Linked DNA regions of Notamacropus eugenii. Each later gene encodes a partner of the first gene's protein in a complex. Links are inferred from orthologs where the notes say so. Each region holds a gene or a part of one and is shown on either strand. Other genes may lie near its edges.

The links.
Region 2: the proteins of SLC39A7 (region 1) and METTL9 are in contact, whole or in part, in a crystal structure (PDB 8GZE), measured with the Homo sapiens proteins. The link is inferred for Notamacropus eugenii from reciprocal best matches to the Homo sapiens genes SLC39A7 and METTL9. Residues at the interface, in NP_001070984.1 of Homo sapiens: Gly65, His66, Thr67, His68, Glu69; in NP_057109.3 of Homo sapiens: Arg114, Thr115, Asn118, Arg123, Gly124, Met126, Met179, Asn210, Asp213, Arg214, Val241, His245, Tyr247, Glu249, Trp255, Tyr295, Leu296, Cys297, Glu298, Asp300, Tyr306, Val307, Leu308.

What each region holds. Positions count from the first base shown.
Region 1 is NC_092873.1:89,187,569-89,191,475, forward strand, and holds the start of SLC39A7 (zinc transporter SLC39A7), read left to right. Parts: upstream 1-1,391; 5' UTR 1,392-1,452; intron 1,453-1,501; exon of another isoform or gene 1,502-1,556; intron 1,557-1,757; 5' UTR 1,758-1,893; intron 1,894-2,166; 5' UTR 2,167-2,175; coding exon 2,176-2,754; intron 2,755-2,870; coding exon 2,871-3,039; intron 3,040-3,156; coding exon 3,157-3,228; intron 3,229-3,391; coding exon 3,392-3,541; intron 3,542-3,700; coding exon 3,701-3,844; intron 3,845-3,907. Other genes in the region: RXRB (retinoic acid receptor RXR-beta), read right to left, coding at 1-179, 1,244-1,262. UniProt on the Homo sapiens protein: Transports Zn(2+) from the endoplasmic reticulum (ER)/Golgi apparatus to the cytosol, playing an essential role in the regulation of cytosolic zinc levels.
Region 2 is NC_092874.1:396,486,312-396,490,218, reverse strand, and holds the start of METTL9 (protein-L-histidine N-pros-methyltransferase), read left to right. Parts: upstream 1-1,508; 5' UTR 1,509-2,345; coding exon 2,346-2,525; intron 2,526-2,759; exon of another isoform or gene 2,760-2,995; intron 2,996-3,722; exon of another isoform or gene 3,723-3,790; coding exon of another isoform or gene 3,791-3,823; intron 3,824-3,907. UniProt on the Homo sapiens protein: Protein-histidine N-methyltransferase that specifically catalyzes 1-methylhistidine (pros-methylhistidine) methylation of target proteins.

The DNA.
Region 1 (3,907 bases):
GCTGATGACAGGAAAGGGGGAGCCAAGTGGGAGTTGGGGTGGGCCCCCTGTTCCTAAGAGGGATGAAGTTGCAGAGGGTAGGGGAGCCAGGGGGGGCCCAGGAGGAGAAGGGGGAGGGCCCCCCCGGGGAGGGGGTTGTGGGGATGAGCTCAGGGAGGAGCTGTCTGGGCTTCTACAGTCTGGGATGGGAAGAGAGAAGAGACAGAAACAAAGACAAAGATATAGAGAGACAAAAAAAAAAGAGAGAGAGAGATAATCAGTCTTCAGCAGGTCAACTACTCCAATTCAAATTCAACAAACATTTATTTAGAGCCTAGTATGTGCAAGTCCCTGTTGTAGGCACTGGGGTTACAAGATAAAAGGAGACTTTAAACTTTCTCCAACTCAAGTGAAGACACTTTTATTTGCCTTTAATCATTTTTTTGGTTTGCCCAAACCAGCCCCAGGCCAGGAAGAAGGCACTCCTTTTGGTTAGGAAGTTGCAGAGTGCTTTGGATTTGGGGGGTGGGGAAAGGGGAGAGCAGGAGTAAAATGAGAAACTCCTATTCTTCTTGAACTGGAAAAAGATTTGGGACCCAACTTAATGGAATGTTAGAGACCCTCTCGCATTACATATGAGGAAACGGAGGCCCAGAAAGGAAAAGTGACTTGTTCAAGGACCCCCAGCTGGTAAGGGTTGAAGCTAGCATTCGAACTCGGATCTTTTCCCTAGAACTGAGTTGGAGGCGTGGGACAGCGGCAGAAGGTCTACGAGTGACAGAAGGGTGACCGTGCCATTGAGATCTGAACTTGGCTGGGGTGGCCCGGAGCCTAGCCTAGCTGGTCTCGGTCCGGAGCCTGGTTCGTCCCAGTGTGGGTGGGAACACAAGTGCCGTTCACGAACCACCCCCCTACACAGCAACCCCAGCCCAAGCTCCGAGGTCAGGGTCGCCCAGAGGGGCAGATTGGAAGATGCTGACCCCTCCCTGACACGTGCTCCGCCCCCAGCCCTCCTCCTCTCCAATCCCTCCCGAGTCCAGCAGAGTGCTGTCCACGCTCCCTCGTCCCACTCCAGACTCTAGATTTCACGGGGAGCGAGACCCTCCCAGCGTTTGGATTACCCATAAACTGGGCGTTCGGCAGGGAAGGGGGAGGGGAGACGGTAGGCAAAGACACCCGTGGGTGTATGTAAAAGGGGAAGAAGACATGCAGATAACACCGTCGCTCGCCCGCCCGCCCTGGCCCTACCCTGCCGACCACTCACCCCGCCCGCTGTCGCCCATCCCGTCCCGTCCCGCTCCCCCCGGCTCCGGCTCCGGGGCTTGTTGTTCTCCGGCCGCCACCTCCACCCGCCGCCGCCACCACCGGGTCCCGGCCCCACAATGCTTCGCGCCACGCTCCCCCACAGGCCCACACTGCCCCGCGGCATGGGGGTTAGAGAAGGATCCGTGAGGGAGGGCAAAGCAACCAACGGTATGGTCCCCAGAAGGAGGTGTGGAAGGACTTGGGGGAGGATACCTACAGAACTCTGGGGTCGGGAGAGAAGGGCAGGATACTGCCAGGGTCTTGGAATAGGGCGCCAGAGCTGGCGGAACAAGGTACTTCACTTTGCCCTACTCTAAGATGGCAGCACCATGGTGGCAGACATCTAGGTAAGGACAGGAAGCCCTTGAGTTAGCTTCCGCCCTTCACCAAGATGGAGGAGCCCGTTCCGTTCTTTCCGGGTGGCCCACTTCCTCCGTACACGCATGCGTATCAAGGGATAAATTTCCCCGTAGCTGCCGCCGAGAGAGCCGCTGTCCGGGTAAAGAAAGGGGCGGAGAAAGGGTGGGACTTCCTCTTCTCGCGGGAGCGGGGAACGCGGGAGTGCCACGTCCGTCCGTGTGAACCGGGAGCGAGAAAACCCCGGCGCCGGTGAGACTTTAGCCTCCTTTTGCATTCAAAGTTTCTTTATCCTCTTCGGGTACCGTAGAGACGGTGGCTTAGAGGGAACACTAAACCGGAATTCCCGAAAACTAGCAAGACTTTCCCGGGGACCAGGGATTGGGGAGGGGGCAGGAGGTGGGTGCAGGTGGGAAGGAGACTGAAAGACTACAGACCATGGTTTGGGAGAATAGGAAAGCAACCATACTGGGAAGTAGACCCCTTGGATGGACCCAGAAGGGTCACTGTCTCTTTTCTTTCTAGATAATCGCCATGGCTCACGGAGCCCCAGGGGCCAGATGCTGGGCAGCTGTGGGGTTGGTGACTTGGGTTGCCTTAGAGCTGCTGGTGTCTGGACTTGGGGTCCACGCAGACCTGCATGAAGATATGCATGAAGATTTCCACCATCCTGGCCATGGCCATTCACACAAGGATTTCCACCATCATGACCATGGGCACTCGCATGAGGATTTCCATCATCCTGGCCATGGGCACTCCCACGAGGATTTCCATCATCCTGGCCATGGGCACTCCCACGAGGATTTCCATCATCCTGGCCATGGGCACTCCCATGAAGATTTCCAGCATCATGGCCATGGACATTTGCATGATGATTTCCATCATGGTCACAGCCATGCACCAGGACACCATGGCCACACACATGAGAGCTTTTATTATGAGTCTGACCCCTTGCACAATAGACAGTCACATGAAGGAAATGGACACAGAAGTCACACTCATGACCATGGACACAGCCATGCTCATGAATATGGACAAAGGTCTAAAGGCATTGGGGATTCTGAGGTTCTAGGCAGTGGGCAGGACTTGGACACTGTCAGTCTTTGGGCATATGTGAGTTCTCAGAGAATAATGGGGATAGTAGAAGGGGTTGTGGGGTGTGGGATCTTACCCTTGTATAGTAATTAACTCACACCCATGACTTATTTCCTTAATCGCAAACTTATTAGGCTCTGGGGGCAACAGTGCTAATCTCAGCGGCTCCATTTTTCATCCTATTTCTTGTGCCTGTGGAATCCAATTCCCCTCAGCACCGCTCACTCCTGCAGATCCTTCTCAGCTTTGCCTCAGGGGGACTTCTGGGAGATGCCTTCCTGCATCTGATACCTCATGCCCTGGGTGAGTGATCTCTAACCTTCATTGCCTTTCAATCTTACTTTGCCTCACACTTTGAGAGTCCCTATTGGCTGTGATGTTTATGTCACATGCTTGATATTTCTGACCTTCTTTCCTCAGAACCTCATTCTCATCATGGGGATATGGAACCTCAACTTGAAGAAAGGCCAGGACATGGACACTCTCATAGCCGTGAGGAGGGAATGGGAGGGAGGAATGGGCAAAGTCTGGGCCTGAGGTAGGGGGGAGGGTATTTGACTATCTCCCCCACTTTCCCCAACATTATGCCAGAGGATGTGGGGGAATCAGGGGACTATTTTTCTGTCTTAGCATCCTTCTGTCTCCCTGCCCTCAGACCAGGGCCCCATTCTCTCTGTTGGGCTCTGGGTTCTCGGTGGAATTGTTGCCTTTCTTGTGGTGGAGAAATTTGTGACACATGTGAAGGGAGGACATGGACATGGACACGGACACGGACATGGACATGGACATGAGCATGGCCAACATGGTAAGACTTAGAAATACCTCTTTCCCTATAATTCATTCTCCTGCCTTGGGATTTCAGGGGGGTGGTAGATATCTAGGAATCTTCCTGGCTTAGGGTTCAGTCTGTCTCTGAATGAAGTGGGGAAATCTCTTCATTCTGATCATTCTTTTCTTTCCTCAGAGTCCTCCAAGGAAAAACAGAGTTCAGATGAGGAAGAGAAAGAGAAAGAGATTGGAGGAGCAAGGAGGAGAAGAGGAGCAGGCAGAGAACCCAATGATGGTCCAGTGAAACAGCTTAAATGTGAAAAGGAGAAAGGAGGCTCAGGTGAGGGAGCAGGGACGGTGCCTGAGACATTCTGGAAGTTTGGAGGCTGCTTGGGGGAGGGGG
Region 2 (3,907 bases), on another chromosome or scaffold:
CTTCATAGTGTAGTGGACCCCCTCTCTAGGCGATCCAATTCCGTCAAGTCCTATAATTGTAAGAGAGAGCTAAGCTTCACTACTTCCTTTTCCTCCAACATCTTGACCTTCTATTACATTTACTTTTAGCTAAGATTAAATGTATTTTTAACTAAAACTAAATATTAATTTTTAGGGCAGTTAGGTGTCCCAACGGATAGAGCACCTGGCCTGAAGTCAGGAAGATTCATCTTTCTGAGTTCAAATCTGGCATTTACTAGCTGTGTACAGATGTTCAGTAAGTTACTTAAGCCCTATTTGCCTGAGTTTCTCACCTGCCAAATGGGAAGACACTCGAAAAGGAAATGGCAAACCACTCTAATATCTTTGCCAGGAAAACTCCATGGACAAGTCCAAGAGGTCACTTGAACAATAACAAAATATCAAATAGGGTCTTTAAAAACCCTGGAAAGGAATTCTTATTAAAGAAAAATTTCAGACTTTACTAAAATTGGGATACCTTGCTCACAGCAAGATAATGGAATCAAGGGGCAAAATGAGACATGTTTTCGGACATGGCCAATGCAAGAACATTTTGCCTGTATTTTTCACAAGGACTTAGTTTTTCTTTTTCTTCTTTTTTCTCCAATAGAGGAGGTAACATGGAAGGAAAGGAAAATAAATTTTTATTTGAAACAATAGTTTTTAAAAGGTTTTAGTAGTATTGTAGAGATACTCTATTGTGGAGAGAACTTTTTACTAGTGATTTAATGCTAGTGCCTTCTAAAATGATCTTCTATATAATACCTTTCACCCCATCTGACTACCAGCTCCTTAAGGTCAGGGACTTTTAAAAGTGCTTTTGTTTTGCCTTGGCTTAGCACAGTGACTAACACACTTTCAGTTCAGTCGTTTCTGACTCTTCATGACCCACACTGCAGTGGTTTGCCATTTCCTACTCTAGCTCATTTTACAGATGGGGAAACTGAGGCAAGCAGATTTAAGGGTTGCACGGCTACTGTCTGAGGCTAAATCTGAACTCAGTAAGATAAGACCTCCTGACTCCAGACTCGATGTTCGATCTGCTGGTTTACCTACCTTCCCAACTGACTTATAACAGGTGGGTTGACGACCTTAAAGAGAGAAACACCTTATGATTCTTTGGGGAAATAACAACAATTAAAGAAGGATGTGGACCCTTTCACGCACACAAGACGGTCTGTAGGTTCAAGTGACAAGCGGCTTCCTGTCTTTACCCTCAAGTGTCCCGGCGGGTTCCAACACCCAGCCTGAGGTTCCCCAGTTTGGAGGGCACCCTCAGGCTTTAAGCGGGGAGAAGCCATCGTTCGCAAGCCCTAGGCAGCCTCCTTGAAACGCGGTGGAAGAGACGGGTGAGGGCGGTCGCCCCTTGTGCCAACCCTAGACCCCAGTGCCAACCTCAGGGAGCTCTGCGAGGGGAGAGGGTGAAAGCTTTGGTTTGTCTGGCACCTGCCTGCGAAGACCAAGGAGCAAAGAGTGGAAGCAGGCGACTACCCCTAGGACAGATGAACGAGAAAAGGGCAAGTTGGACAGCGCTGTCCGCGGGACAGACCCCCGCCTAAAGCCCCGGCCGGCATGGGCCGCGCAGGCGGAAGTGGGGGCGGTCCGCCCCGGCCCCTGCCCCGGTTTCTGAGGGGCAGAGGAAGAAGTGAAAAGGGCTTGAGTACTACCGTGCCTTCGGGAGCCGACAGCGCGCCTAACGCCCGCTAGGGCCCACTGTGCCGGGCCGTGCGCCTGCCTTTCCTTCCTCCGCAGCCACTACACAATGGGCCCGAAAGGGTTTAGCGTGGGGCTAAGAGGGGCCCCGCTGGGCAAGCAAGCGCGCTCCCGCGGCCTCCGTGCGCGAGCCCGCGCGAGCTGATTGGTTGAGGAGGCGCTTCCGGTGCGCGCACTGCGTCCGCGTCCGGCTTCGAGCCGGAGACCAAACGAATCCAGTAACCACGACTGGGGAGCCACGGTGTGCCCCTAGAAACGCGCTCCGGGCGGAAACCGCCACTGCCGGAAACGGCGTTCCGCCGAAAGAAGGAAGAGGGGCAGGGGTGTGGGGGAGGACTGAGGGGAGGGGAGAAGAAGGGGAGGGAGAGGCGGGCTGGGGTGTTCGCCGGCCGCTTCTCCCCACCCCCCGCCGGAGCCTCGGAGGGGCTGGATGGGTAAGTTGGGCGCGATGGAGAGAGTGGCCGCGGCGGGCGGCAGCGGCGGCGGGGGCAGCGACAGCGACGGCGGCAGCGGCAGCAGCAGCAGCAGCGGCGGCGGCGCCTCCTTCTCGCCTCCTTCCCGGCGGGGCTGAGCCGCGGAGCTACCCCGACCCCGCCGCCCCGCGGCCCCCCATGAGACTGTTCCTGGGCTGGCTGGGCTTCACCCTGGTCTCGCTGTGGCTGGCGAGGAGGATGTGGACGGGCACCGGCCGGTCCCTGCGGAGTCCCCTCGCCCGCTCCCTCTACATGAACATGATGAGCGGCGGCCCCGGAGAGCCAGGCGCCGCGGGCGGCCGGAAGGACAACCACCAGGTGGGGAGGGGCGCCCCGCGACCCCCGGGCGGCTGTCGGGGGGGGTGGTGCGTGTGCCCGGGCGGGAACCGGGGGAGGGGACCGGGGGAGGGAGGGGAGGGGGCGCAGCCATTGTGAGGGCCGGGGGTGGGGGCACCCGGTCAAGTTCAACCCCGCCCCCCGCCGCCGGACCGAGGAAGGGGCGGGCCCTGCCCCCGCCGCCGCTCTCCCCCTCCCCAGAAAGTTTGACGAGCCGACTCCAGACTTCCCACGGGATACCGGCCGCCTTCCCCCGCCCTTCCTCGGAGCGGTTATCCTCCCATCCCCCCAAAACTTGGACCCCTGGCAGCACCCTCCTGTGCACACACACTGCTCCCCTTCCCAAAATTCGGATCGGCCCCCCCATTTCCCTCCTCGCGCACACGCAGACACACACCCTCTCTGTCCCCCCCTAACTCGGACGTCCCCCACTTGCGGCGCCCTCCGTACACGTAGGTACACACAGACCCCTCCCCCTCCCCAAACTCTTAATGCCCGGACCCAAACCCTCAGTACTAGCCCCAGGCCCCCTGCTGGGAGGGGACCTTTTGTTAAGGAAGAAAGTGGGTGTTTGGCTGGCTGGAGACGTTGGCCTGCGCAGAAGAAAAATGGCCTTTTCTTCCCTTCTGCCACCCCCTCTCCTCTCGTCCTTATCTCGGCTTGGCCCCCCTCCGCCCTGCCCCACTCCCACTCAGCCCAGCACTGCCCGCGCTGCCGTCCCTTCCCCCCTCTGTGGTTCCGAGGCTGGAAGGAGGGAGTAGGTGGTATGTTTACTGTGAGGGCTTCGCCCCCCGTTCACTTTGGGGACCCAGGTATTCCCAAGCGCGGCCTCCCCTCTCAGGTTGTAAGATTGGAACTAAGGGCCGGGGCGCTGGAGCCTCCCCTGTCCAGGCCGCTGTCCTTGTCGTATTCCCGTAGTGTGGTTTGGGGTGTGATTCCTGAGGGGCTGAAGACTGCGGGGTTTCAAGAAACTTCAGCAGTCCAGCGTGAGCCACAGAACGCAGCACTTACTCTGGGAACGCTTTCGGACCGTGTGTGTTCTGAAATACGTGTAAAGGGCTTGAGACAATGCAGTCTCCTCTGGAAAAATGAGAACTCGTTTAAACTTCAGTATACGTGTTCGCCAGAGGCATTGTGAGAGGGAGAAAGGCGAAGTTATGGAAATGAGGCCTCTTAAAAGAACTCTCAAGTGCGTTTTTCAGATTTGTGTTCAGTATGACCTCTTACTGGCTGACACCGACTGGTGAATGGAACTGAAGTCTTTAAGATTTGCCTATATGGTGGGGAGAAGTTAACATTGCACCTATTTTAAAAAGAGCCCTTAGAACCCTTCCAGAGATATTATTGATAAGTATTAGGTAGAC